Macaca mulatta: one gene and its partners. The protein of the gene in region 7 purifies or fractionates together with the protein of the main gene of each other region. This does not show direct contact. Links are inferred from orthologs where the notes say so. Each region holds a gene or a part of one and is shown on either strand. Other genes may lie near its edges.

Region 1 (3,875 bases), on a different chromosome or scaffold from region 7:
TATCTCTTTGGAAGAGGTAATTTCCATTACTATCTGCCCAGATGTCTCATCTAGCCAAGCATAATACAAGCCAAAAATAATACAAATGTATCAAATGCCAGTCTCTTTAAAAAGCCAACAATTTAAACCATAAGAGTTTTATCATCACAAAGCTCTCCCTCCTCTACATAATTAATCATACTTGGATGCGTGCCATCCTTTAAAACCTGGCTGTTAGGTCAAATAGAATTCTGTGTCATTATTACCATACGCCAGGATGGATAAGCACTTTTTGTGCTTTGGTTTTGAGATAGGGTCTCACTCTGTTGCTTAAGCTAGAGTGCAGTGGCGCAATCACAGCTCACTGTAGCCTTGATCTCCCAAGCTCAAGCCATCCTCCTGCCTCAGTCTCCCAAACAGCTGGGACTACAGGCACAAGCCACCACACCCGGCTAATTTTTTTGATTTGTTAAGAGGGATGGGGTCTCACTATGTTGCTCAGGTTGGTCTCAAACTCCTCAGCTCAAGAGATCCTCCCAAAGTGTTGAGATTACAGGCATGAGGCACTGTGCCCAGCCAGATAAGCACATTATTACTGTGGCACCATAAAGGACAATTTTACAAAAATTCCAGTCAGCATGATACTAACAGTAGAGAGACTAAAGAAAAATGGATTTTGTACAGAATGATCATCCTTGCAGTTTTTGCAAATAAATTATCCCAGGGCAGTTAAAGGCAAAAATAACTCTTTAACTTATACCCACAAACCTTAAATCTGTCTCAGTAATGGTATCACCTAGACCACCAACATATAGTGTAGTGATAGTTTTATCCTCTGGTGGGTCCAGCCGAGGCATTGTTGAAGCCCGCTTTAGAAGCTTGTCAGCTACAGGATCATTGATTCCGTAATATCGATCTTTAATATTCTGATCAGCAAGGGGGTCATCTGGATCTGTAGGCTTCTCATGTCTATGATTCAAGAAAAAAACAAGGCATAAAGGTGAAACAAAGGTGAAAAAATGGTATCTTCCAAGAATAGCTACATATTAAAGTCCTAGATACACATTCTGAAGTGCCTTTTGAACTAGAAACTATGGTTTCTACCAAAATACAATTACCAAAATAGACCTAATACCAAGAGATTTACTGTATGACAAAAGGAATTCCTAGCCTCCTAAAAGCCATTAGGCCATCTAGGATGCCAAACTTTCCTTATAAATAAAAACTCTTGACATGATCCGCCCCCTCCTGCCCCCTAGAAAGGGACACATGATTACCCCTCTCTAGGTCAATGATTCTTAACACATTTGGGGTATTGTATTCCACTGAGAATCTGATTAAAGCTATGGACCTAGCTCCAGAGAAAGCACATATATTATTTTTTAGGGGGTAGGGTTAACTAATCCCAAATTTAAGAACTCCTAATACAGATGCTTGGCAGTCTTAACCAAAACATACACACCCTTTAGTAGTCTGACCTTACTTTGACTTCAACTATACATTGAGAGTCAAGTGTTTAAATCATGGCAGTGAAGATGTACTTCTCAGGTAGAAATGTTTAAGGCCAGCATCCATATTGTATGGCATAGCAATTTAGTTTCCAAGGCTCAATTGTAAGTAAAAACTACAATTTATTCATGCTCTTCTAAATTTCATAGTTCTAAGACATCAGATACACCACATTGGTTGTATGACCTTTAGATTTTAAAGCAGAAACAGTTTAAGCTAGCACCTCCCATTTCTTAGATGAGAAATCATCTGAAAGCAAATACTGAAAATGAGGCTCGGCTCTTGCCTGTATGGACATTCCTCTCCTCTCTTACACTCTCCTTTCACCCAGAAGGAGCAAATGTGGGGTCGATTCCTTTTGTAGTAGGGTGTGGTCCGGGCCAGTTTGAGCAGCATGTCACTGGTAGATGTGGCTTTCCCCAGCATGCCAACTGGTCGTGTTCCATCAGAGTTAGAAATCTAAGTGAGGATGACAAATTCAAAAGATAAATTATACAGACTGTGTCAATTCATTAGGATTTTTACCCAAAAAGTGGCAGCATACCTCTCTCTCCATATTCTGTGTATAGTACTCTTTGTTGACATCTGACTTTGGCATGTCATCTTTAAAAGATAATCCTGCGTCACGAACCTGGATGGGCAGGCCTGGTACAAAAAAAGAGGAGAGAGACCTCAGATGTATTTTAAAACATATCCATACTAACCATGCACACAGAATACATCACCTTTCCCTTCCCCTCCTTCCTATTTAGTACCAGAGACCTTACTATGTTTCTATTCAAACTCTTTAGCACCATCAGGTTACTTCTGCTACACAGCATGCTAAGAAATTGTCCAAATTCCTGAGCTGTCAGGAAATTTGATGAAATCAATGTTTTAGAAAACCTTTTAGGCTGGGTGTGGTGGCTCAGGCCTGTAATACTAGCACTCTGGAAGGCTGGGGCTGACGAACAGCTTGAGTCCAGGAGTTCAAGACCAGTCTGGTCAACATAGTGAAGCCCCATTTCTACAAAAAATACAAAAATTAGCTGGGTGTGGTGGTGTGCACCTGTAGTCCTAGCTACTCAGGAGGCTGAGGTGGATCACCTGAACTTGGAAAGGTTAAGACTGCAGTGAGCTGTGATCATGCCACTGCACTCCAGCCTGGGCAACAGTGAGACCCTGTCTCAAAAACAAAAACAAAAAAATTATAAAAGAAAATTTTTAGATGAATAAACTGTGCCCATGGTCATATTCAACTTGTAAATTAGTAACGCACCTACTTTTTATTACAACATGATTTACCTAAAGTAAATGTAAAAGTGGTTTCTTTGGTTAGTCCTACAGATCATCTGGATAGTCACAGTCATGTAAGGGTCACTGTACTCCAGGACCAGACACCTCCTTAACAAACATATAAATAATATTACATAAAATGTGGCCAGAACTCTAACTAGAAGAGTAACTCTAATGAACTTAACATACATAAACTCATATATATTTTCCCTTTCCTTTAATAGTAGAAACTCTTGTTGAAAAATTATCTTTCTGAAAAACAGTCACCTACTGTTTAGAAAAAAAAAATACTCCCAAAAGCAGTTACTCTGAAACAGTAGCAATGTATCAGTTCTCACAACACAATTGAGACAAAAGTCTAAAGCACAATTAGGCTGGCTGTGGTGGCTCTGGGAGGCCAAGGTGGGAGGACTGCTTGAGGCCAGGAGTTCAAAACCAGCCTGGGCAAAATAGTGACACACACACACACACACACGTGCACTGGGTGTGGTGGTATACCAGGAGGCAGAGGCAGAGGCATACCAGGAGGCAGAAGGCGTGAGCCCAGGAGTTCAAAGTTGTAGTGAGCTGTGATCACACCACTGTACTCTAGCCTGGGTGACAAAGTGAGACCCCAACTCAAAAAATAAAATAAAATAAAGCACAATTACCCTGTGAGCTTCTGGTTGGCATGGTGGAAAAAAGCTCTGGATCAAGAAAGAAGCCTAAGGCAAATAAATTATCTGTCATAGGATCAATGCCTTTTACCTCACTTGGGCTGCAGAGATAAAGGTTTAGGCCACTTTTTTTTTTTTTTTTGAGACGGAGTCTTGCTCTGTCACCCAGGCTGGGGTGCAGTGGCCGGATCTCAGCTTACTGCAAGCTCCGCCTCCCAGGTTTACGCCATTCTCCTGCCTTAGCCTCCCGAGTAGCTGGGACTACAGGCGCCCGCCACCTCGCCCTGCTAGTTTTTTGTATTTTTTAGTAGAGATGGGGCTTCACCGTGTTAGCCAGGATGGTTTCGATCTCCTGACCTCGCGATCCGCCCGTCTCGGCCTCCCAAAGTGCTGGGATTACAGGCTTGAGCCACCGCGCCCAGCCTAGGCCACTTTTGATTAATTCCCAAATTTTCC
Region 2 (3,875 bases), on a different chromosome or scaffold from region 7:
GGTGTAGCTTTGGTTTGGTTTACTTTTTCCTTTTTTTTTTTTTTTTTTTGGAGACAGGGTCTCATTCTGTCACCCAGGGTAGAGTGCAGTGGTGCGATCACAGCTCACTACGCCTTGACCCCCAGGGCTCAAGCAGTCCTCCCACCTCAGCTTGAGTAGCTGGGACTACATGCACATACCACCATGCCTGCCTAATGTTTTAATTTTTTTTGTAGAGATCCAGGGTCTCACTATATTGCTCAGGCTGGTTGCCAGAGGTTCAAGCAATCCTCCCACCTTTGCCTCCAAAAGTGCTGGAATTACAGATATGAGCCATCATGCTCGGACTGTTTTCTTTTTGATATTTTTTTATTTTGTGTGTGTGGTTGATGATGGTCATGTGTTTTTGATGGCACATTAATTTAAAAAGTATTCAGAGTAGTTGGCTCTAATGAATGAACTGAGTAATATCTTCAATTTATGCACTTTTGTATTAGAATTTTTATAACAAAAGCTCTTATATAGTTTAATAATGGTATTATGAAACATTATATTTATTGTGATCATCATTTTTCTTAATTTATTACTATGGAAAAAAACTTGAGTCTTGTTTTTTTTTTTTCTTAGTGCAAGTGTGGTTGCGTGTGTATCTCTGATCTATCACTTATTTCTTTACATTCTAAACAGCATACCTATAGTAGTTTACATTTCTTTTATTATCAATGTTATAATAACTGATGTTCATATGACATTTGTAGGTTTCTGAAATGCTTTTATGTGCCTTATTCTCATTTAATCTGTAAGGTAGCCCAAGGAAGTAGGTGGAATTATTTTCCCTTCTGGAAATACAGAAAGAAAAGCTGAGAGAAATATAAAAATTAACCCAAGTAAGTGGCATAGCTAGGACTCATTACCAGCTTTCTCCGATTGCTAAGTCCCATTTTCCTGCACTACCCCACTTCCATGAACACCAGTTCTCATGATGTTGGTTGTTCTTACCTGGGGTAGTACCACCTTCATAGAGGCATTTGGAAGATGCTGGTTGTTAGAATGACATTAGAAATTCTGGCATTTAGTACTCAGTTACTTAATGTTAGGTCATGTACAAGATGGTCTTGCACAATAAAGAATTATTCCACCCACAATGTCATTATACTCCCTGTTGAGAAATAATCACCGTACTTTGCTATTGGTGACACTTTTGGGGATGGGAAGATCTGACCTTACTGACTCATGATGACACTTTTTACTATTTACAATGATAAGATAAATGTATTAGGACATAGCCCAATCCTTGAGGACCATTTGAGTGTGTAATGGAGTCTTATTCTTTGTTAGCCATCACCTCTTGTTTTTATACTTAACTCTGAAAAAGAGTCTCATCTGTCTATGTTGTTGCTTCTAATTTGCTGAGGACTGAAACCAAATAACCAAACTGATAAAAATTAATTAAGGAAAAAATCAGTCTCTGAATGAATGAGATCGTTTTCTATGGAATAGAGCTGGTGACCCTTGTTTCAGGTTCTCAGATGCCAGGTGACTTTGATGTGGCTGAGAGTTAGAGCCTAATCTAGTCCTTGATAGAAAGGAAATGTTTAGATTCTGTAATTCACCACATAAAGCAGTATCTTGGCTAACAGAAGTAATAACTTTTATGTCTATAGCAGTATTTCTACATATTTCCTATCATTGCTGTGAATTAAGTTGGTTAAATACTACTCACTAACTAATTCATTCTTTTTTCTTTTTTCTTTTTTTTTTTGGAGACAGAGTCTTGCTCTGTCACCCAGGCTGGAGTACAATGGCACATTCTCAGTTCTCAGCTCACTGCAATATCCGCCTCCCAGGTTCAAGCGATTCTTCTGCCTCAGCCTCCCAAGTAGCTGGGATTACAGGCGCCTGCCACCGTGCCAGGCTAAGTTTTTTTATTTTTTTTATTTTTTCAGTAGAGATGGGGTTTCACCATGTTGGTCAGGCTGGTCTCAAACTCCTGACCTCAGGTGATCCGCCTGCCTCGGCCTCCCAAAGTGCTGGGATTACAGATGTGAGCCACTGCGCTCTGCCCATTCATTCCTTTTATAGGAATTAATAATTGGAGCTTAAAGAGCCTCGGTTACTTTTCCAAGCTTACAAAGCCAATGAGTAGCAAAGTGCTGGCAGTGATTGAAACCAATGGCATTTCCATCAGGCTTTCCTATTTCTCTGGGCGTGTCATTATATACATCTTCTGCTTGTAATTATTTGGTGTGGCTTCATTTTTAGATAAACTCATCTGTGATACTAATTTTTTCTTAGCATCTATATTCTTTATTATTTTAGCTGAAGTTAAAAAGAAGAAGAACAAGAAGAAGAACAAAAAGGTGAATGGTCTGCCTCCTGAAATAGCTGCTGTTCCTGAGCTGGCAAAATACTGGGCCCAGAGGTACAGGCTCTTCTCCCGTTTTGATGATGGGATTAAGTTGGACAGAGGTAAAGTATATATGTATTTTTTAGCTTTATTTTGAAACCATTTAAAATTTACAGAAAGTTGTAAGAATAATACAAGGAATGTTCATATCCCCTTTCCCAGATTCAGCTATTTTCAACATTTTGCCCCATTTACGTTCTCATTCTGTCTCCATTTGTATGTGTGTGTATCTTTTTCTGATCAGTACTTTCATGCCCATACTCCTTAATACTTTAGCATATATTTCCTAAGAACAAGTATATTGTTGTTTAAAACAGTAAATTATCAATTTAACATTGTTCCAATATTATAATCTACAGTTTATACTCTAGTTTCATCAATTGTCCTAATCTTGTCCTTTATCACATTTTTTTTTCCTTCCAGTATAGGATCATTTATTGCATGTATTTTTCATGTTCTTTAGTTTCCTTTAATCTGGAATCTTTCCTTAGCCTTTTTTGTCTTTCATGACTAACATTTTTCAAAGGATCAATGGCCATTTATTTTATAGAATGTCCTTCAATTTGGGTATATATATGTGTGTGTGTATTTTTAAAACTTCAGATTTGGGTTTAATCTGTATTTGTAGCACCTTAGGATAGATAGCAAAAGCGATTGATAAGTTATTAAATGGAAAACCTGATCAAGAAATACCTAGTGCAGAAAGACACAATTTAATTAATTAACTTTGCAAGTTTTGAATTCTTTCTCCAACTTTCCTGCCGTGATCTGCAACAACTTACTTAACTCAGTCTTGCAGACTGATGCTCATTTTCATGTTGGGGTTACCTCAATATTGGTTTTTATTAACTATCAAAATCAGAAGTTCTTGATCTATGATGGAATTTCAGGGGTTCTCCAACCCTTTTAAAACAATTTGCAAAATGCTGTGTATTGGAAGAAGAAGTACATAGGAATTTATAAGGAGAAGTAAGAGTGGAAAACACTTGCAATTATATAAAAGTGTATATTCTTATTTTTCCAGTATCGAAGAGCCATTTAAAGTTTGGTAAGGGGAGGCAACAGGAAAAATTAACACACATTATTTTTATTTATTTCTTTTTCTTTTATTTTATTTTTATTTTTATTTATTTATTTATTTATTTATTTTTGAGACAGGGTCTCACTCTGTCACCCAGGCTGGAGTACAGTGGCACAATCTCGGCTCACTGCAACCTCCACCTCCCAGGCTAAAGCAATCCTCATGCTTCAGCCTCCTAAGTAGCTGGGATTACAAGCAAGCACTATCATGCTTGGCTAATTTTTTGTAGAGACAGGGTTTTGCCATGTTTCCTGGGCTCAAGTGATCCACTACACCCAGCCCAGCACATAATTTTGTTCAGATAAATGTCTTTCTGAAAAAATGTGAATTTTTCCTACTAGGAAAGAAGGAGGTCAGTATTCTGTTTCCTCTAGAATGGACACAAGAGCTCATTTCTGAAAATGATGA
Region 3 (3,875 bases), on a different chromosome or scaffold from region 7:
ACCCAGGAGGCGGAGCTTGCAGTGAGCCGAGATTGCACCACTGCACTCCAACCTGGGTGACAGAACGAGACTCCGTCTCAAAAAAAAAAAAAGGGAAGTTTGCTTTTCTTATTACTAGTAGCATAATTTTTAAATCACATACTTTTATGATAGTTGAGAATAGTTAAAAACATCTTAAATACTACCTACTTGTAGAATCAGTTTTAGTGCAAGAACATGAAATACATTTTTAGAAAACTGAATAATTGACGTGCCTATCAAATGTTTCAGTCACTTTTATTTGAAATAGTAACATTTTAAATTGTCCAACACATTTTCATTCACATCATTGAAACTAACATTCTTTGAATCAAAGCTCTTTTCTTCCTTCTAGGTTTGATATACGTTTGATGAAAGAAGGTCGTATGAAAGGACAAGCTTTCATTGGACTTCCTAATGAAAAAGCAGCAACAAAAGCCTTAAAGGAAGCTAACGGATATGTGCTTTTTGGAAAACCCATGGTGGTTGTATCCTTTAAATCCATCTATTTCAAAACTATAATTTTTAGAAGGGTATAACTGAAATAAATTTTCATGTTACCCTTTAGAAATTTCCACAATTGGCATTCTAGCAGTAGATATTCATTCAGTTACAGTTAAACCCACCTTACTGAGTCAAATGACAGTGTTATTTAGATTTTTAGTAAAGGAGCTTCAGCAGCATGAAGTTGTTCAATTTTAGCCAAGTTTTAAGTGTTTCACTTATGCAGCTCAAAAGTACACAGTTATGCGAAGAGACTAGAGTATCCAGAAGTACATTTGGAGTCATAAAAGAACTAATTCATTTTATCATTTTATTGTAATTTATATTTCTACATGAGAATTTTAATAACCGGAGTATATCATTGATGAACCATCTTGCTTTTAGTAATCAATGCAGTTTGCAAACTAGAAATCAGCAAGATAGGTAAAGAAGCAAAGGCCCAGGTATAAAAAATAATGACTATAAAGGAAAAGTTAATTATTAATTTCCTCTTAAGTCATGGAGTCAGGAGACACTCAAGGTAAATTAAAAAACCATACTCTCACCATACATTAGAACGTTTTTGAGAATTATTTAGAAAAGATTACTTGCATATTCATGAAGGAAACCTTAATTTTAAATTATTAGCAGTTTGCTCGATCTGCTAGACCAAAACAACATCCTAAGGAAGGAAAAAGAGTTAAAAATTAATAAAGGTAAGTGTGAATAAAATGTAATAAGACAAGACAAATTCTTTAGATACAATTAAGAATAAAAGTTTGATAGAGTAGTAATTCGGGTATCTCTTATGTATTTTTTAAGGAAATATCTATCTGTGCAGTTAAGTCCCATTAAACTTCAAAGCTATAACTACAGATTAAAACCCATTTATATGTAAAAGTTAAGTTTGGAGAATGAATCTTATAAGGGGAGTGTGCCAGTTACTTTTTTTTTAATTTTTCGGCCTATAGTAAATCAATAGTTCTTAAACTCTAATATGTATCATAATCACTTGGAGAGCTTAATAAAACACAATTATGTAGGTTCTTTCCTTCCCTGAAAGAGTTTTTGATTTGGTAGGTCTGATGTGGGGACCTAGGGAAGCTAGTTATACCAGTTTTCCTTTTAATGAGGGGATTTCCAGGAAGCCGGACATTTAGTGCCGAAATGGGGAATGTGTCTGGCAAGCCAGGACGAGTTGGTCACCCTTGTTGGCACCTGAAAATTTACAAAATTAATGAGTTTTCAGGTAATCATGAGGCATCTGATCCAGAGACCACAGCTTGAAAACTCCTTGGATAAACACTTACAGATACATTTTCTAACTCTTAAAATTAACCTAGAATAAATGTTAAAAAAAAAAAGTTAAAAAAAAAAAAAAGTCAAACTGTTACTAAAAATAATTCTGGCTGAGGGTGGTGGCTCACCTTTGTAATCTCAGCAATTTGGGAAGTGGAGGTGGGCAGATCACAAGGTCCAGAGATCAAGACCATCCTGGCCAACATGGTGAAACCGCGTCTCTACTAAAAATACAAAAATTAGCTGGGTGTGGTGGTGCATACCTGTAGTCTCAGCTACATGAGCTGCTAAAGCAGGAGAATCTCTTGAACCTGGGAGGCGGAGGTTGCAGTGAGCCGGGATCACACCACTGCACTCTACCCTGGCGACAGAGCAAGACTCCAACTAAAAAAAAAAAAAAAAAAAATTTTTCAACAGTGCTGAGTATATAAAACTATTAACACACTTCACAACAATACATGTTTGTGGACTTACATCTTTTTTTTGTCTTTAAAACAAGTAATTTTAGTGCATACTTAATTTGATGATTAAGTATGGTAGAATTAAGCATTTTAAATGTTAATGTTTGCTACATTGTTCAAGAAATAAGTGGAAATATATTCCTTTGTTTTTTATTTAAATTTTTCTTCCTCTGTAAACTAAAAGAACATAAAGTAAATTGGTCACAATCACAATTGGTGTTTAATTGACAAATATGAATAAATAAGAGAAAATTTTGTTTAATGTTTAGTCCCTCTGAGATGGCTTGAATATTTGAATTGTGTTGTATGTCTATACTGGGTAGTCACAAGTCTTATAAACACTTTAGAGGAAAGATGGATTTCAGTCTGTATTTTTAAAAATCATTTATTTGTAAATCTGGTGCTGAAAAATAAGAAAAAAAAATTAAACTGCATTCTGCTGTTCTTCTTTAGAAGCATTCCTGCGTAAATACTGCTGTAATACTGTCATGCAAAGTGTATCCTTTCTTGTCGTATCCTTTTTGGGGCAGTGTTTTTTTATTTTTTTCTTAGAAATGTTTGTCCTTCCCCCACCTGTTGATCCAGGTTAAGCAATACTTTTTTACACTTTATTCAAATGAAATATTTCTAAAATTGTTTGTATAGATTGAAAAATCTTTTATGTGTTTTTAGATTTGTTGTTGAATTTTCTGTGCTGTCCTTTAGGTTATATAATTTTTTGAGGGAAAGTTAGTGAATCAGGTCAACTTACTTAGAGAATGTGTTTATTTACTTTAACTCAGAATACAGTCTTGTTTCTTCTATTTGTATATTTCCTAAACTTAATTCAATAACATGCTTTCCGTTGTATAATGTATCTGGTTTAGGTATTTATAATATGTTTAAAATTTAATTGGGCAAAGGACATGTTTTTCTTTTAAAAAGTACTTATATTGAAAATTAAGATGTCTGGATTACTATGTAAATTCTAAAGAGTAGCAGACCTCTCATTTAAAGTCTTAAGTGAGTCTCTTTTGACATAGATAGCAATAGAAGTATCTTTCTTCTTTCCCCTTTCTTTTTCTAAACAAGGGAAGAAAAGTGTAATAGAGGGGAGAACACATAATGCCGACTAAGGGTAGTGCATTAAGTCAAAAACAGTCTTGGCAGGTATATAGGAATAGTGGTTTCCCGACTGGTTGATGACCATAATCGCCAAGAACAGTGGTTCCCAGTCTTGGCTGCACATTACAGTGATCTGGAACTTGAATGAAATACTAATTTTAAAAGGGTGCAGTGGTTCATACTTGTAATCCCAGCACTTTGCAAGTCCAAAATGGGAGAATGACTTGAGCCCAGGAGTTTGAGACCAGCCTGGGCAATGTAGGGAGACCCTGTCCCTACAAAAAGATACAAAAAGTAGCCGAGTGTGGTGGCTTCCACCTCTGGTCTCAGCTACTTGGGAGGCTGAGGCAAGAGGATCACTTGAGCCCCAGAGGTTGAGGTTGCAGTGAGCCATGATCACACCACTGCATTCTAACCTGGTGACAGAGTGAGACCCTCTCCCTCCTTAAAAAAAAAAAAAAAAAAAAAAAATTAAGAAATATATTGATGCCTGGTTCCCTTGGTCAGAAT
Region 4 (3,875 bases), on a different chromosome or scaffold from region 7:
ATAAAGTTTTATTACTAAGGACTCATATTTAAGTTAACTTTCAGTTGCCAGAGAATTACGATGGCAATGAAAGCAGAAGGGTGATTCAAATTAAACTTGGACAAAAACAAAACATTCTTCATCCGAAGCTGCTATATCATCCCAAATTTAGCAATCACTTCAAGTCTAAAAAATATTAGCCCTTAAATATAAAGAAGGTATTAGTCAAGAAAATGTTAAATACATCTGGCAAAACTGATAAACACGAACTCTATATTAGTCATTTGTTTCTTTTTTCCTTTGTAAATACTTCAACATACACAGTAATAGTGACATCTGCTGAGAAAGGCTGGAGTTGCTCCCATGACTGCTGCCACTCATGAGTCAGAAGCATGTTCAGGATTAACAAGTGAAGATAATTCATATTCCAGAGTCCCTTCCCCCCTTCAAAAGAGACACACACAAATTCCGAGTTGGGACTTGAACTTGGCCTACTGCTCCCACCCCAAAGCAGCATAACACTTTAGCCTTAGGCAGTCTCTGTGGGGAGACTGGACTATTATAAATGATACCCAGAGTTAAGCTATTAATAGGAACAGAAATGATTATTTTTAACTCCCACATTGATTACCATTCTTTTCGTCTTGGGAATCAGAAAAGCAACTTAAAATAGAAAAGTTCTTTTAAAACTTTTTAAAGTATAAGTTGAATTCAGCTACTTAAGCAGTTTCAATACCCACAGAAAACTTAAACATTTTAAAATTAGAATCTTATCAGTGGAACTCTTGGGCTGGCTAAAATGCCTTAAATAACAGCAGGGTATCCATACTCATATGCACTTCAGTTTGCTACACAACTTCTACTCCTGCCATGAGGAATGTGGTACTTAAAAACCACACTGATGCCTGAAATCACGAGCTAAAGGCTTTGGACTTCCATTAACAAAAATCAGCTCCGTCACTGAGGTCTATTTTTCCCTTCCCCAGGAAAAAGGGAAAACATTTCTTAAATGTATGTGAAAACCTATACTAGTTTAGCATTAGCTTTTAAAAACAAGAGCTTCTTCTATGACACTGGCAAATGTGTTATTCTTTAACCTCCACAATGGTTACAAAGATGCTCACTGTAAATGACCTTTTAAATTGTACATGTTTTGTATATTCTTTGACATGAACCATGTATTTCACAATTAAAAAACGAAAAATCGGCCAGGCATGGTGGCTCACGCTTGTAATCCTGGCACTTTGGGAGGCCAAGGCGGGCAGATCACGAGGTTAAGGAAATCAAGACCATCCCGGCCAACATGGTGAAACTGTCTCTACTAAAATACAAAAACTAGCTGGGCGTGGTGGCATCTGCCTGTAATCCCAGCTACTCGGGAGGCTGAGGCATGAGAATCGCTTGAACCAGGGAGTCGGAGGTTGCAGTGAGCCAAGATCGCGCCACTGCACTCCAGCCTGGTGACAGAGTGAGATTCCGTCTCATAAAAAAAGAAAAAAAAAATTGAGGTAAAAATCAACTATGAAATTGGCCACACAAATTTACAATTCATTTTTAATGCACTTACCATTTCAATGTAATTACTCAGCTCCCTTAACTCCAAGTTACATTAGATATACAATACAATAATAATTCAGACCAAATATAAAAATGGAATGCACCTCACTACTAATGTGGCTGTCTGGAAGGAAATATTTTAAGATATTAAGAAAAAAGAAAAAGAGAAATATGAAGAGCTTAGTTATTGATAAAAAGTCCTTAAACTTCAATGAGATCACCATTTTTTAAAGAATTTATTTTGGCCAAGTATGGTAGCTCACACCTATAATCCCAGCACTTTGGGAGGCTGCAGCAGGAGGACTGCTTGAGCCCAGGGGTTTGAGACCAGCCAGGACAATACAGCAAGAACTCATCTCTAAAAAAATTTTTTTAAATTAGGCAGTCGTAGTAGCATATGCCTGTGGGCAGTCCCAGCTACTGGGGAGGCTGAGGCAGGAGACCTGCTTGGGCCTAGGAGTTCGAGGTTACAGTGAGCCACTATGGCATCACTGCACTCTAGCCTGGGTGTCAGAACAAGACCTTGCCTCAAAACAAAACAAAAGAAAAAATAAAAAGTATTTATTTTGTTATAGCTCCAACAGTTCCCAATAAAGAACACCCTTCAGGATCTCTCCTAGGCATCAACTGTAGGAGAGTTGATAAAAAGAACCCATTTTAAAAAAATGAAATGCAGAATGTTACCAGAAGATAAGCTGGAATTCTCCAATTTGTGAACACGACCCAAACTGAAGGCCACAAAAGAGGGTGAAGTAATGGGGCCGGGGAGGGGAGGAGTGTGTGTGTGTACATTAATCCCATCACTATAATATGTATGTATTTCAAAATTTCAAAAACATATACATTGTGGAATCTGCACATCACCACCAGAGGTCATTAGTGGAAGAGGATGAAGATTGCAAAAGGTGAGAACACACGGACACACAGGGGAACGATACACACTGGGGTCCGTCAGAGGCTGGAGGGTGAGAGGTGGGAGAATCAGGAAAAATGGCTACAAACCCTCCATGACACAAGTTTACCTGTGTAACAAGCCTGCACACGTAACCCTGAACTTAAAAGTTTAAAAATAAAATAAAAAAACTTCAAAAGCGATGCCTTTAAATAGAATACCTAACCACAACTGAGCTTTATTGTGTTTGGGCCCCCAGGAGCCACAGCTTGGGGAGCTATAAAATTAGCAAACAGAAGAGCAGGAACACTCTTTATTTCAAAACAGCAACATGTGCAGCATTTTTTTAAGATAACAGAAGAAACTCATTATTACTACATTAAAGAATTCCAGGATTGGTGCATCCTTTAAATCCATCAATCAAAAGAGAAAAAACGGACAACTGCACATTTCCTTTTTCTTCATACTTGTCAATAAAATTTCACTGTCCGATTTCCAAGAAAGATAAAAATTATTAGTCACTTGAAATAGGTGATTAATATACTGAACTATGCTTCTGTCATTTCTCATAATAATCATATTGCTATTAAGATATGTATAAGATGCACAGTGCAGCTTGACTGTTTGACTTACCAGGATATTGTCTGGCTTGATATCTGCATGTAGGATGTTGCATCTTTTAAGGAGTTTCAATGCCAGGAACAACTGCTGACTATAGGATCTTACAGCTTTAATATGAAGACCAACATCTTTACCATATTTTTTTAACACCTCTCGTAAGTTCATACTTTTAGGAGAAAATAAAACACAAAAAACAAAATAGGAGTTAAAATGCAAAATGGAAATATAAAAAGGCAAAAACATTTGCAAGCGTAAAGTACAATCAAGTGCAGAATACAAACAATAAAAATACCTAAGAACCGTCCCCACATTTGATAAATTATTTTATACTGAAAAGAGAGCGTATCAAATTGTATGTATATAACACAGTTTCCCAATAAATTCAATTTTCTAAATAAGTAGGAAGAAAGATAGGCAAGGTAAAACTCCCATTTCGATTTCAGAATAGATTCACATTTGAAAACACAACAAAGCCATACTGTTGAAGATAAAAATTCCTTGAAATATTTCATTTTAAGAGACTCTCTCTGTTGACCTATGGGCTCCATGAGAGTAGTGCCTGGTGTACAGTATAGTCAACTAACGTTTGTAGATTCATGATTCAAAAGACTAGCTGGGATTACGATGGCTCACATCTGTAACACCAACACTCTGGGAGGGCAAGGTGGGCAGATCAATTGAGGTCAGGAGTTCAAGACCAGCCGGGCCAAGATGGTGAAACCCTGTCTGTACTAAAAATACAAAAATTAGCCCGGTGTAGTGGTGTGCACCTGTAATCCCAGCTATTTGGGTGGCTGAGGCACGAGAATCACTTGAACTCGGGAGG
Region 5 (4,538 bases), on a different chromosome or scaffold from region 7:
TATTTGTGCTTGAACTAAGTGAGTTCTACACAAACACCTCCAACCCTGCCACTGCCTGTCCAGCTCTACATTTCTGATTCTTAATGTGCATACTTTTACAAGACTTTCTTTTTCATTCTATTCTCTTACCAAATATACTTCCGTAATCTTGTGTACTAGGCACCGGAGACACAAACGAACGGATACGTCTCTGGACCCCAGGGTCTCACAGTCCAGGGCAAAGAAAAAGATGAACAAGTCACGGCAATGTGCTAAGTGCTATAGTTAAGATATGATAAAGGGGCTAAGGTAGAATAGGAGGAAACGCGCAGTGAGACTGAAGGACCATAGTGTTTGGAATGGGGGAAGGAGGCACTAGGCAAGGGATTTCCAGGCAGAAAGACTAGCGTGGGCAAAATCTTCAGAGGAAGAAAGAAAATTTGGCTTTCAGGGCTTTGTAAAGAGTTCAGCATGGGAGAATAGCAGCCCTCACATGCTACCAAAAAAACTTAGAAATTACCCACTGGACAATACGGTGTCTTTGGGCAGGGAAGTGATAGGACGCAAGTGGAATTTACAAAGATCATTCTAGGTGCCCTGTGGAGAAAAGAATGGGGTATAACACTGGGAGACAAGAAAGGAAGAAGTAGAAATATCAGTTAGAAAGCTACAACTGTCTGAAGAGAAATGATGAGAATCTGAACTAAGCAGTGGCAGCAGAAGAGAGAGATTTGATGAATATCATTGAGTTAAAGTAGACAGGACCCACTATCCAAAAGAAGAGGCTGAAAGAGAAAGAAAAGAATAACTCCTGGGAGAAATAAGGAAGATATGAAGCCTGCACCAGTGAAAATAGTGAGGAAGGAGTTGATATGAGATAAATTAATGAAACAGAAATGTTAGAATCAATTGAATGACTAGCTTCAGGGGCTGAGGAAGAAGGAAGAGAAAAGGATACCTCCTTTGTTCTTGGCTTGAACTAGTGGGTGGATCGTGGGATCATAGATCAAAATGGGGAAAACAGAAATGGATTTTGAGGGAAAGAAAATAATTTTTCAACACACTGAACTGGAGGTGGCTGAGTGCCAACCTGCAAGAAACAAATGTACAATTACAGTGGGAGATTTTTATATACCTCTCAAGGTTGTAAGCTAGCAAGGAGGATAGAACTGGAAATAAAAGGATAGCAAACATGTGGCACTGTTAAAAGGGCTTTACATCTTTTATGGCAATTCTTATAATTCTGTTAGATCGGTACTACTGTTATTCCTACTTTACAGATCAGTAAAAATTAGGTGCTGAGCATTTAAGCAGCTTATCCAAGGTCCCCAGGTGGGTAAGTGCTGGAGGCAGGATTTGAATTACAGTCTTAATTCCAGAGCCTGTGCTAACCATTTCACGGTGTTCACCTTGAGCTAGGGGCAGCACAGACTGAGGTTGAAGGTATGGAAGAATATGTGGAATGCAAAGAGGACCAAGAGCAGAGTCCTAGGAAACACCAGTATTGAAAAGAGTAAAATAATTGGAACAGAATGCTGAGTAGAGCCCCATGGAAGCGAAACGGAGAGAAAGTTTCAAGAAAGAGGAACTAATGAACAGTGTCATTTGATGCAGACATTTAAGTCAGATGGCTGAACCTGACAACTGCAAGGCCTGGGACATCACTCACAGACAGTTTCCCAAGAGGGTAGGGCCAGACTGCATCGGGTTGAGGAGAAAATGAGATGAAGACAAAAAGAGAGCTCCAAAAAGCTGAGCTGTGAAAGGAGAAGACTCAGGAGGTTACTGGAGGGGCGTAAGTTTGGAAAGTTTTGTTTTGATAGGAAGTTAGGATTCTAAGCATTCTTTCATGCCAGATGCCCATTTTTAAAAAGTAAAATTCACAGACAGCTTGTTAAAAATCTGTAAAACACTCCTTAAGTCATTAAACTAGACTTGGGGACATGATACAAAGGAATTTTTGGACACCGCCTCCCATCTTCACATCTTGAGCTGATCACCTACCTCGGGCTCTACTGGGCCTACACTATCAATTGGTAGATGCTCTCATCAGGCTCTAGACACATCAGCTTTTCCTCAGTTCTTCAAACACACTAAGCTCTTTGCCTTCTCAGGCTTGCCTGTCACCTTTGCCTGGAAACTCTTGCCTGAATCAGCTTCCTCCATTGAGATCATGCAGCTGTTTCTCAAATCCAAGGCCTTTTTCTCACTGTATTAACATACATAATCATAAAACATTTACTGCACTCTCACTAGTTACCAGGCTCTGTGCTATATGCTTTATTTGTGTAATTTCACTCAATTTTCACACTCATCTTCTCATGTAGACAGGTGTTTTGAAAATGATCTCCGCTTGTACAGGTGAGGAAAGAGAGGAGGCTGCATAACTTGCCCAAGTTCACATAAGTGGTGGTGCCAGGATTAGAACCTAGTTTTTCAAAAATAAAACAAATCGAGGCCACTGCTCACTTCAAGTGAAGGTACAATACTCTAGTTTGGGAAGTCCTGATCTAATTTTATTTATGTTCCGAGATTACATCTGCACTTTACAGGCTATGTCCCTAATTCACAAATTCAAATTTCACCCCCTCTTTCCACTTGCTTTCTGATGGCGGGAGGTAAGGGCAGAGAGCATCGGGGGGCTATTCCGAACTTCCAATTCTGCTTCTCCCGAGGATGCATGTGGGAAGGAGAAGAAATTCAAACGTTAGCAACTTATCTCTGAGCAATGAGGTAAGCCGGGACCTAACAAGCGGCTGGCAGTTTTGGAGCTGAAGCCAACAATTCCCACACCGCATCAGTAGCAAAGGTGCTTACCTTAACTGCCACCTCCGGAGCCGAGTCCACTGCCACTGCTAGAGACGGCTTGGCTGAAGGCGATTTAGTCAAGTGCATGAGGGAGTCGGCGGCTGGCAGCGGACATCGACTGCTCTCACTGTCCGAGTCCGATTCGGACCCTGAACCCGAACCGTAGGAAGCGGCCAGAGCTGCAATCGCAGCCGACATGACGGCAACAAATCTTCTGCGGGGACCCTGTCAGGGCGGAAGAAGAGGAGGCTCCCAGGTCCTGACAGATTGCCATGGAACACATCATTAACTTTCTTTGCTAAGAAATAATTTCTTACATTTTAAAACAACAAGCTAATTATTATTAGAATAACTACTGTCGAAATGAGAGCTTAAAAAAGTTTATCTAGGGAAAAAGAGAGAATTATAATAGCTTATAACTTTCAGGACCTAGTTGACTAAAGAATACGAGTTCCAAAATACCTTGAGGCCTCGCGGTCCTGCACTCCCAGCGTGCAGCGCGGCAGGAAGCACCAGAGGGCACAATGGGAAGTGTAGTTTGGAACGAGGGGGCGGGACGGGGGCGGGTCCCTCCTTGACCCCGCCCCCGAATGGATGTTCCATTCAATTGGCTGTCATCTTCCCTCATTCCCTAGCCAAGCACTGTTCTCTCCGTCCCCCTCCCCCAAACTGAGGATTGGGCAATACCACAGAACCTCAGGAAAGGGGGGAAGAGCGAGCTTCGGCCCCACCGATGGAGGAGTGGGCCGAGGCTGGGTTTCCCACCTCGACTGCACCTGGGCACTCGAGGGTGAAGAGGAAAGTGAGAATCTGAAGTTTTGAGACCTCTGACTGGCCGGGAATAGCTCCTGGGGCACGGGGCAAGGATGGGACCATAGCCGGAGAGAGTCCCGCGGTCCCCCCTGCTTCTGGCGCGGGTCCCTGCGTCCGGTTGTGGAGCGTCTCGCGCGGGGAGGGGGCGGGGGGAGCGGCAGCTCGCGGTGTTGTTCACTCGCGCGTCGAGCACACGGTGGGTCCGGCGGCCGGTGGGCGCCCCAGGCGGCGTTCCCAGTGGCCTGGCGCCTCGGCCGCTGTCCTGAGCGGGTTCCGCCCCAGAGCCCGACCCTCCTGGGAGCCCTAGGTGGAGTCCCGCGAGCCGAGGGGGACCGGCGACCGCTGCCGAAGCATGAAGAAGGGGTAAGCGAGAGCCCCCAAGATTTCACGGTGAGCGCGAGTCCCTGAGGAATTGCTTTTTTCGGGGAGGGGGTGCTGGGAGAGGAACTCTTCCTCACCGGCCGGAGCAGACCGAGGGGTGTGTGGCCCGCATAGGTGACGGGGATGGATGGGCGCGCCTCCCCCGCCCCGGCCCCCACCCCCATCCGCGGGTTTCCCGAGCGCCCACCGCCCACCCGCCAGCCGGGCTGGGTGCAGAGGGAGACGGCGGCGGGCGCGCCCGGGGTTCGGCTGCAGGGACCGCCCCGGGGCTGCTTTCGCCGGAGAGACTGCGGGTCTCACCTGAGGTGCCACCGCCCGGGCTTCCCTGCCCACCCGCGCCCACGGTCCGCCCCGTGCCTCTTTCCGGGGGAGGCGGTAGCCCCGGGCGACAGAGAAACCTCTGCTCGCTCTACGTGCCTGGAGCTTAGTAAAGCCGGCTCGTGCGTTTGCGTGTTTGCTCCGCGAGTCGGTGTCTAAAGACATAACGGTAAAAAAGCGAGTGCAGGCATCCTTTTCTTGGTTGGAAGGGTAGGCGAAGCAGTGCCGTCGCTTCTGGT
Region 6 (3,875 bases), about 47 Mb from region 7:
TCCTAGAGAGCTGATGACTACAGAGGTGGAGGAAGTCAGACAAGCCGGGATGGAAAATTGGTAGACTGGTAGTCAGCCAGCCCTCTGGTGGAAGAAAGACCCTGTCCAGGAGGAACTGTTTCATATTAGTAGTCTGCCCTTCCCTCCTACTGCCATAACAGCTGCTTCTTTTTTCTTTTCCTCTGTCTCAATCCCAGGTATAAAGAACGGCACCAGGTGCAGTTGTTAGGGCGAGGCTTCATTGCAGGCATTGACCTCAAGCAGCAGAAACGAGAGCAGTCACGTTTCTATGGAGACCTAATGGAGAAAAGGCGAACCCTGGAAGAAAAGGAGCAGGAGGAGTGAGTGATCAAGGCTAGGGTGGCTGGACAGAGCCCAGAGACTCTACAGAAAGGAGTTGGAGGGCACTGATTCTACTTACTCCTCACATCCTGCTCCAGGGCAAGACTCCGTAAACTTCGTAAGAAGGAAGCCAAGCAGCGCTGGGATGATCGTCATTGGTCTCAGAAAAAGTTAGATGAGATGACGGACAGGGACTGGCGGATCTTCCGTGAGGACTACAGCATCACCACCAAAGGTGGCAAGATCCCCAATCCCATCCGATCCTGGAAAGACTCTTCTCTGCCCCCACACATCTTGGAAGTCATTGATAAGTGTGGCTATAAGGTAAGGAGGGGTAGATTGGCCCAAAAGATCTGAAATGTTCCTGCACTAGTTTGGGAATAGAGAACTTTGTTCCTTGACTATTTGGAGCCATCCCTGCTATTGGGTACCAATGTGACCTTTTCTGTCACTTTCTGGTAGAAGCGTCAGCTTTTAGTGATTATGTTTCTTCTTGGGGTCCCCATTTCTGTGCACTGTACTTGGCATCCTTCCATTGCACTAGCAGATATGCTTACTACTATCAGTGGTAGCCCAGGTTGTATAATTCTGCCTGTACCTATTACTCTTTCTCGGGGTCACTGCAGGAACCAACACCTATCCAGCGTCAGGCAATTCCCATTGGGCTACAGAATCGTGACATCATTGGTGTGGCTGAGACTGGCAGCGGCAAGACAGCAGCCTTCCTCATCCCACTGCTGGTCTGGATCACCACACTTCCCAAAATTGACAGGTGGGGTCAGCTGGCACCAGCTGGAGTGGGTTTGTCTGGGTAGGAAAGGTGAAAGTGGCAAAAGAATGTGTGTTTTTTGTTTCACGTCTATAATCGGAAGCTTGCTTCTTTATTCTTGGTTCGATATTAGGGAATAATTGGATCATGATATCAAAGAATTATATGTTGCTGGCAAAGACCTGGAGAACTTTGCTATCCTGGAGTCTCTGATTTTTATTTTTTTATTTTATTATATTTATTTTTTTGAGACAGAGTCTCACTCTGTCACCCAGGCTGGAGTGCAGTGGCACGATCTCGGCTCACTGCAACTTCTGCCTCCCAGGTTCAGGTGATTTTCCTGCCTCATCCTCCTGAGTAGCTGGGAATTACAGGCATGTGCCACCACACCCAGCTAACTTTTGTTTTTTTGTTTTGTTTTGTTTTTTTGAGATGGAGTTTTGCTCTTGTTGCCCAGGCTGGAGTGCAGTGGCGCAGTCTCGGCTCACTGCAACCTCCTCCTCCCAGGTTCAAGTGATTCTCCTCCCTCAGCCTCCTGAGTAGCTGGAATTATAGGCACCCGTCACCACGCCCGGCTAATTTTTTTGTATTTTTAGTAGAGACGGGGTCTACATGTTGTTCAGGCTGGTCTCTTAACTCCTGACCTCAGGTGATCCGCCTGCCTCAGCCTCCCAAAGTGTTGGGATTACGGGCATGAGCCACTGCGCCCGTCCTTAATTTTTGTATTTTTAGTAGAGATGAGGTTTCACCATGTTGGCCAGGTTGGTCTCAAACTCCTGATTTCAAGTGATCTGCCTGCCTTGGCCTCCCAAAGTGCTGGGATTACAGGCGTGAACCACTGCACCTGGCCGAATCTCTGATTTTTATTTATTTATTTATTTATTATTTATTTATTTTTGTTTTTTTGAGATGGAGTCACGCTTTGTTGACCAGGCTGGAGTGCAGTGGTGTGATCTTGGCTTACTGCAACCGTTGCCTCCCAGGCGCAGATCCTCCCACCTCAGCCTCCCAAGTAGCTGGGATTACAGGTGTGTTCCAACATGCCCAGCTAATTTTTGTATTTTTTGTAGAAACAGAGTTTTACCATGTTGCCTAGGCTGGTCTCAAACTCCTGGGCTCAAGTGATTCACCCACCTCAGCCTCCCAAAGTGCTGGGATTATAGGCTTGTACCATTTTGCCTGGCCTCTGGACTTACTTTTTTTTTTTTTTTTTTTTTTTTTTTTTTGAGACAGAGTGTCTCTGTCAGGCTGGAGTACAGTGGCACGATCTCAGCTCACTGCAACCTCCATCTCCTGGGTTCAAGCAATTCTCCTGCCTCAGCCTCCCGAGTAGCTGGTATTACAGGCGCCGGCCACCACCCCTGGCTAATTTTTGTATTTTTATTAGAGGCAGAGTTTCACCATGTTGGCCAGGGTGGTCTCAAACTCCTGACCTCAGGTGATCCGCCTGCCTCAGCCTCCCACAGTTCTGGGATTACAGGTGTGAGCCATAGCGCCCAGCCCTGGCCTCTGATTTTTGAGTGAGATCATTTCATTCTTTTCTCATCATCCTCCCCATTCCCATCGCTTCCCCTAAGAGTGACTTTGTCTTGCTCTGGCTTGTGGTTGGATAAGAACCAAAGCTCACGAAGCTGTGGGATGCCCCATTTACCACAGAATCGAAGAGTCAGACCAAGGCCCTTATGCCATCATCCTGGCTCCCACCCGTGAGTTGGCTCAACAGATTGAGGAAGAGACCATCAAGTTTGGGAAGCCGCTAGGTATCCGCACTGTGGCTGTCATTGGTGGCATCTCCAGAGAAGACCAAGGCTTCAGGCTGCGCATGGGTTGTGAGGTTTGTTTTTCTATCTAGCAGCCAGCCTGCTGTCTGGGAAGGCTATCTTGGGGCTTTGTTTCTAGTTTCTGGAATAGATGTGCAGTAGAATGAAGAAAGGAGCTGGTTTATATGTATGTGCTATTTATTGAGAACTTATGCACCAAAGTTTATATTACAAATAGTATATATCATATATATTAGCTCATTAATTCTCACAATAATGTGTGAGAGTAGGTAGTGATATTTCCTTGTTATAGATCAGGCTGAGGTTCAGGTTAATAACTGCCTGAAGTCACAAACAGCTGGCAATGGGCAGAGCTGAGATTCTTATCCATAGCCTGTGCTTTTAGTTACTCTTTACTCTGCCAGACCAAATCTTTGACTTTGTGCATTGCGTTCATCTCAGGAAAGTGGAGGAGAGCTTTTTATGAGAAATCTGCTGTAGAAATTTAGAGTTTTTACTTTTTTTTTTTTTTAATTTAGTCTTTATACAACCCCCTTCATGGTATCCCTTAGTCTCTCCCATCTAAGAAAGTTGCTTCTTCAGGATCTGAAATGATTTGCCAAAAAAAAAAAAAGTTTCTACTGATTTTGCCTCCTCTGTCTAATCCCTGCATCTTACTCAGAGACCTCATTCGTTCCTGAGAAAATCCAGGCAACAAGTGATTTCATGCTGGTTTGCAGGAGCCTTTACTGCTAAACATAACCAGAGGTTGGGGTCCAAGTTCCTCAGCATTGGAGGTCTGTCACCCAAGTGGGTGGATAGTTCACAGGAAAGAAAAGAAGGGGCACCTGCTGGGCTGTAAGTGATTATACTGTACTACTCAGATTGTGATCGCTACCCCTGGGCGTTTGATTGATGTGCTGGAGAACCGCTACCTGGTGCTGAGCCGCTGTACTTATGTGGTTCTGGATGAGGCAGATAGGATGATTGACATGGGCTTTGAG
Region 7 (4,059 bases):
TTAAAAATGGTTAGAGTGGCAAAATTGTAATGTATATTTTACCACAATAAAAAGAAAATTAATTACAAAAAAAACCCCACCAAAACACATGGCTGAATCATTTACAGAAACTCATTTGACAGACATACAGTCAGTTCAATTTCTTCGGCAGATGTGTCTTTCCCCTGAAGGAATGAATTTCCTCAATAACTTTGGTGTTGTGCCTTTAGCATCATTCATTAAAAGACTCATGAATTTCACTTGAAAACTTTCTTTCAGGGCTAAATGATGAGAAATGTTTTGTTTTCTCCAGCAAAGTAGTGTGTTTCCCTTACAGTATTATTATGAATTAAATGTCTGAGCTCTTCTTACTTTAACTACTAGGAATAAAATCTGTGGCTGAATTCTGGTTTAAGTCCATGTCTTGTACCTAGTATATCATAGTATCCTCCCTGGCTTTGACTTTATTTTTTAATTTTGCCGTACATTTGTCAATTTAATTGTATGTATTCTTATTAGTCAGACTAAACCTTTGAGCAATAAGGTGAAGCAAACTAAATGCAATGTTATGACCTTTACAGCTCTTTAGCTTACCTGCATGTTCATGTAGCCATCTACAGATACCAGATAGCCCTTGTACTCCATTCCCCACTTAAGTTTCACCATCACTGGCTTTCCTGTTAGTCCATTGAGGAAAGGTTTGGGATTGAGGGGTAAACTCTGCACAAAGAACAAAAAAGGATCCAATTAATTATTTTTCCTCCCACCACCAACTCTCTTCTACTAAATACCAATATTTTGTGGTATGCAAATGAAGAAAACTCTTGACTCATTATTTTAGTACACAATTTTCACTTTCATTTATTGGAGAGTACCAGGGAAATTTAAATATCCAGTTAGCCAGTATCACCTTTAACCCATCAAAACAAAATACTCACTATTCACTTAAGATAACACCGACTACATACATCACTTACTGTTCTGAGCTCTAAAGAAACAAAGATAAAGGCACTTAAAAAAAAAAAAAATGCGGGCCAGAAAGGGTGGCTCATATCTGTAATTCCAGCATTCTGGAAGGCCAAGGCAGGGGGATCACTTGAGGCCAGAATTTCAAGACCAGCCCAGGCAACATAGTGAGACCACCTTCTCTACCAAAAATAGTCAGATGTGGTGGTGCACACCTGTAGTCCCGGCTACTAGGGAACAGAGCAAGACCTTGTCATAAATAAATAACAGAGTCCCTGTCAAGAAGTTGGAGATGGGGAGGGGGGCTCCTCACATACAAATAATTATACTGCATATTGCAACATAATAAGAGGAGATATACTAGGCACAAGGGTACCGAAGCAATCCAGGGAAAAAAGGAAAGGTTGCCTGAAATAAGTTAACCTCAGTTTTAAAGAATGAGAATTTATTTCCAGAGCGGGAAAAAATCCTGTTCCAGGCAAGGCTAGCTACTTATGTAAAAGGAGGGAAGAGTGAAGCAACAAGGTGATTTTGGGGACATACAATTCAGCATTGTCAGTCAAAGTCCCAAATATAAGACTACAGAAGGAAGCAGAGGGCAGATGACGCTTGACAGTCTTTAACTGTGGAAGCTAGGGCTAGGTCCTAAATGACTTTGTCACTAGCACTGCCTCTTATAGCAATCACTTAAAGTTTGCTCAGCAAACCATTAACATCTCCAGTGAATTCGGTTTTTGCCTTTTTCTGCTCACTCACCAGTCAAAGAAAGAACAGAACTAAGAAACTTGGCTACTAACCCCCTCTAACATAAACATATTCGGAGTGACTTGATGCGGCGATTACTCCAATAACCTAATGGGTCTCCAGTTTTCATTCTCCAATTTATTATCCACCACAGCAACATGATTTTTTAAAGTGCACATCAAATTGTCATATTTCTGCTTAAAATGATTCAATGGCTTCCAACTCAATCATTTTCAATTGATTTGGAGTACAATCAAAACCTCCCAATACAGCCTAAGAGGTCCTGTCCAACGCCTGCTCCTCCGACACCATCTCGTAACCACTCTTCCTGCAAGTGGCTGTACCTTTTTGTCAATTTCTCCAACTGACCAAGCTTTCTTTCCGGCCGCAGGTCTTATGCGCCTATTCTCTGTGCTCGGTACACTCCTCCTCCTGCTCTTTAAAGGGTCTATTTCATGACACTTAGGCTTCAGGTTAAATTCCACCTCCTAGGGAGGCCATCTCTGACTAAGCCTCTAAATGTCTAACGCGCACCCTCACAGCCTCCTGTCTGCATTCTTCTTAGCACTTATTACTTGCAATTGCATATTTGTTATTTTTTGACTGTCTGTCTTCCCCAACCGAGTTAAACTAGAGCATGGCCGTATCATTACTTTCATGCAATGAAAGTGAATTTTGGAGTGTGGTTAAGTGGGAAGTGCAAATTCTCTTTGAGTTTTACCCCGACCCTGTAGCCACAAATAAGAATATCCCAAGCCCGGATTCAAACAAAGAGGAGAAGGCACGGGCACTCCTAGAAAAAGAAAGGCATCGGGAGGAGCACGCGCCTCAGAAATCCTAAAAGCAGAGTGAAAGAAGCTGGCGACCGGGTGCGCGGCGCCTCACGCGGATGAATGGGAAACGCGCGAAGCAACCACTAGGCCCCGCGAGGTGGTCTCCCTCCTTCTCTTTCTCCCCGCTTCTCCCGCCGTTCTCGTTCTCCTTACCATCGTAACCACGGCCGAATATTGCAGGCTACTCACTGCCGACCAGGCTGCCGCTTGTCCCTCGTGACTACAGCAGGTACCCCAGGTCCCGAGCCGCTGAATTTCAAGAAAAATGGCCGCCAAACAGGAGTGTGACCTTTCACCTCCCACCACGGCCCTTCCTGCCTCTGTGATTGGACGAAAAGAGATGCGCGCTGATTGGAGGAGATGGTTGGACCAGTATCTCCTGGCAACCAGCAGCGGCTTGAGTTTGCGCCTGGCCGGCTGCGCGCGGGTCTTGGGAAACCCGCTCTGAGGAGCAAGGTGAGGCAGCCAAGGACTGGAGGCAGGCCGGTGTTGTAAATGTGCGGTCTGGGAGAGGCTGTGTGACGGATGTGACTTCTCCCCAACTTGGTTAATGGGGATTTTACTTTGTCTTTTTACACCCGTGAGAATGTTCAGGATCCCAGAGTTCCTTCCTCACTCTTCCAACAGGTTCCATGATTTGGGGGCGCCTCTGCCGCAGGCCGTTTCTACCTGAGTATTCTCTCTTCTGCAACACCCATTTCAACCCCTTTTAAAGGAATTCGGGGGTAGCCAGACAAGACTAGGGGCGGTGAAACGCACCGAAGGGAGTCGGATACAGAATTTATTTTAAACGAGGTCAGGTTGTGTCTGGGATACGGTGTCATGTCCCCCCACCCCCCACGACCCCGCCGGCCCCATCTTTCTTTTGCATCGCCAGCAGAGACTGGCACGGCCTTCTTACGTGCATTTGAAATTACCTAAGGGCGTAAGCAATATTTCCGCTGTCACGGATTAAAACTTTCGACGTAACGGTGTTATCTGAATCTCACTGGTTTTTGTCGTAATCCTAGTGAGTTCGGCTCACTCTGATCTGAAATGCTAAATGCAGTTCTTGGAGAACACGCCCTTTGGGAAGTAACGCTTTTTTGCGGCCCTGAAGAGATGGATTTGAGGTTGAGGATGAAATGTTGGTTGTTGAGGCACTGTGGAGCAGTGGGCAAGACTTTGGAGAGGGCCTGCATTCGGAACCTGCGTCTATCAGGCGCAGCCGGTGTTGGGCAGTGTCTTAACCCTCAGGGCCACTGTTTCCACGGCAGGAACGCGGCTTTAAAAACGGAACCATCCTCAGCGTGGTTGCGAGAATTTAACCTAAAACGGGGCTTGGCCTTGTAAAAGCTCAGTGTTTCACATAAGTGTTGAACACTGACAAGACAGTCATTGTCAGTGTAGTTTTTACCAAACAGTTATTAGATTTATTCACCCTAAACTTAAGTGGATTTCTTCCTTAGTTTGTATATTGTTTCATGAACTTTAAGTCTTTGTACAGACTTTGAGTTCCTACTATGTGTCAGGCTCTTTCAACAATTGTGGAAATCTT

What was found.
Region 1: the proteins of SNRPF (region 7) and RBM22 purify together in Homo sapiens (co-immunoprecipitation; 3 studies listed by BioGRID and IntAct, counting the BioPlex papers as one, with this or other methods). This does not show direct contact. The link is inferred for Macaca mulatta from reciprocal best matches to the Homo sapiens genes SNRPF and RBM22.
Region 2: the proteins of SNRPF (region 7) and TGS1 purify together in Homo sapiens (co-immunoprecipitation; 3 studies listed by BioGRID and IntAct, counting the BioPlex papers as one, with this or other methods). This does not show direct contact. The link is inferred for Macaca mulatta from reciprocal best matches to the Homo sapiens genes SNRPF and TGS1.
Region 3: the proteins of SNRPF (region 7) and RNPC3 purify together in Homo sapiens (co-immunoprecipitation; 3 studies listed by BioGRID and IntAct, counting the BioPlex papers as one, with this or other methods). This does not show direct contact. The link is inferred for Macaca mulatta from reciprocal best matches to the Homo sapiens genes SNRPF and RNPC3.
Region 4: the proteins of SNRPF (region 7) and PRP4K purify together in Homo sapiens (co-immunoprecipitation; 3 studies listed by BioGRID and IntAct, with this or other methods). This does not show direct contact. The link is inferred for Macaca mulatta from reciprocal best matches to the Homo sapiens genes SNRPF and PRP4K.
Region 5: the proteins of SNRPF (region 7) and CDC40 purify together in Homo sapiens (co-immunoprecipitation; 3 studies listed by BioGRID and IntAct, counting the BioPlex papers as one, with this or other methods). This does not show direct contact. The link is inferred for Macaca mulatta from reciprocal best matches to the Homo sapiens genes SNRPF and CDC40.
Region 6: the proteins of SNRPF (region 7) and DDX23 purify together in Homo sapiens (co-immunoprecipitation; 3 studies listed by BioGRID and IntAct, counting the BioPlex papers as one, with this or other methods). This does not show direct contact. The link is inferred for Macaca mulatta from reciprocal best matches to the Homo sapiens genes SNRPF and DDX23.

The regions. Positions count from the first base shown.
Region 1 is NC_133411.1:159,661,403-159,665,277, forward strand, and holds part of RBM22 (pre-mRNA-splicing factor RBM22), read right to left. Parts: intron 2,134-3,875; coding exon 2,033-2,133; intron 1,948-2,032; coding exon 1,775-1,947; intron 949-1,774; coding exon 748-948; intron 1-747. UniProt on the Homo sapiens protein: Required for pre-mRNA splicing as component of the activated spliceosome. Involved in the first step of pre-mRNA splicing.
Region 2 is NC_133413.1:66,444,036-66,447,910, forward strand, and holds part of TGS1 (trimethylguanosine synthase), read left to right. Parts: intron 1-2,298; coding exon 2,299-2,448; intron 2,449-3,875. UniProt on the Homo sapiens protein: Catalyzes the 2 serial methylation steps for the conversion of the 7-monomethylguanosine (m(7)G) caps of snRNAs and snoRNAs to a 2,2,7-trimethylguanosine (m(2,2,7)G) cap structure.
Region 3 is NC_133406.1:136,788,821-136,792,695, reverse strand, and holds part of RNPC3 (RNA-binding region-containing protein 3), read left to right. Parts: intron 1-373; coding exon 374-506; intron 507-1,149; coding exon 1,150-1,212; 3' UTR 1,213-1,217; intron 1,218-2,714; 3' UTR 2,715-3,875. UniProt on the Homo sapiens protein: Participates in pre-mRNA U12-dependent splicing, performed by the minor spliceosome which removes U12-type introns. U12-type introns comprises less than 1% of all non-coding sequences. Binds to the 3'-stem-loop of m(7)G-capped U12 snRNA.
Region 4 is NC_133409.1:179,185,782-179,189,656, forward strand, and holds part of PRP4K (serine/threonine-protein kinase PRP4 homolog), read right to left. Parts: intron 3,216-3,875; coding exon 3,062-3,215; intron 1-3,061. UniProt on the Homo sapiens protein: Serine/threonine kinase involved in spliceosomal assembly as well as mitosis and signaling regulation. Connects chromatin mediated regulation of transcription and pre-mRNA splicing.
Region 5 is NC_133409.1:15,228,360-15,232,897, reverse strand, and holds the start of CDC40 (pre-mRNA-processing factor 17), read right to left. Parts: upstream 3,004-4,538; 5' UTR 2,986-3,003; coding exon 2,797-2,985; intron 1-2,796. UniProt on the Homo sapiens protein: Required for pre-mRNA splicing as component of the activated spliceosome. Plays an important role in embryonic brain development; this function does not require proline isomerization.
Region 6 is NC_133416.1:55,993,835-55,997,709, reverse strand, and holds part of DDX23 (probable ATP-dependent RNA helicase DDX23), read left to right. Parts: intron 1-197; coding exon 198-341; intron 342-440; coding exon 441-666; intron 667-968; coding exon 969-1,114; intron 1,115-2,767; coding exon 2,768-2,945; intron 2,946-3,755; coding exon 3,756-3,875. UniProt on the Homo sapiens protein: Involved in pre-mRNA splicing and its phosphorylated form (by SRPK2) is required for spliceosomal B complex formation.
Region 7 is NC_133416.1:103,187,300-103,191,358, reverse strand, and holds the start of SNRPF (small nuclear ribonucleoprotein F), read right to left. Parts: upstream 2,801-4,059; 5' UTR 2,679-2,800; coding exon 2,676-2,678; intron 700-2,675; coding exon 574-699; intron 1-573. UniProt on the Homo sapiens protein: Plays a role in pre-mRNA splicing as a core component of the spliceosomal U1, U2, U4 and U5 small nuclear ribonucleoproteins (snRNPs), the building blocks of the spliceosome.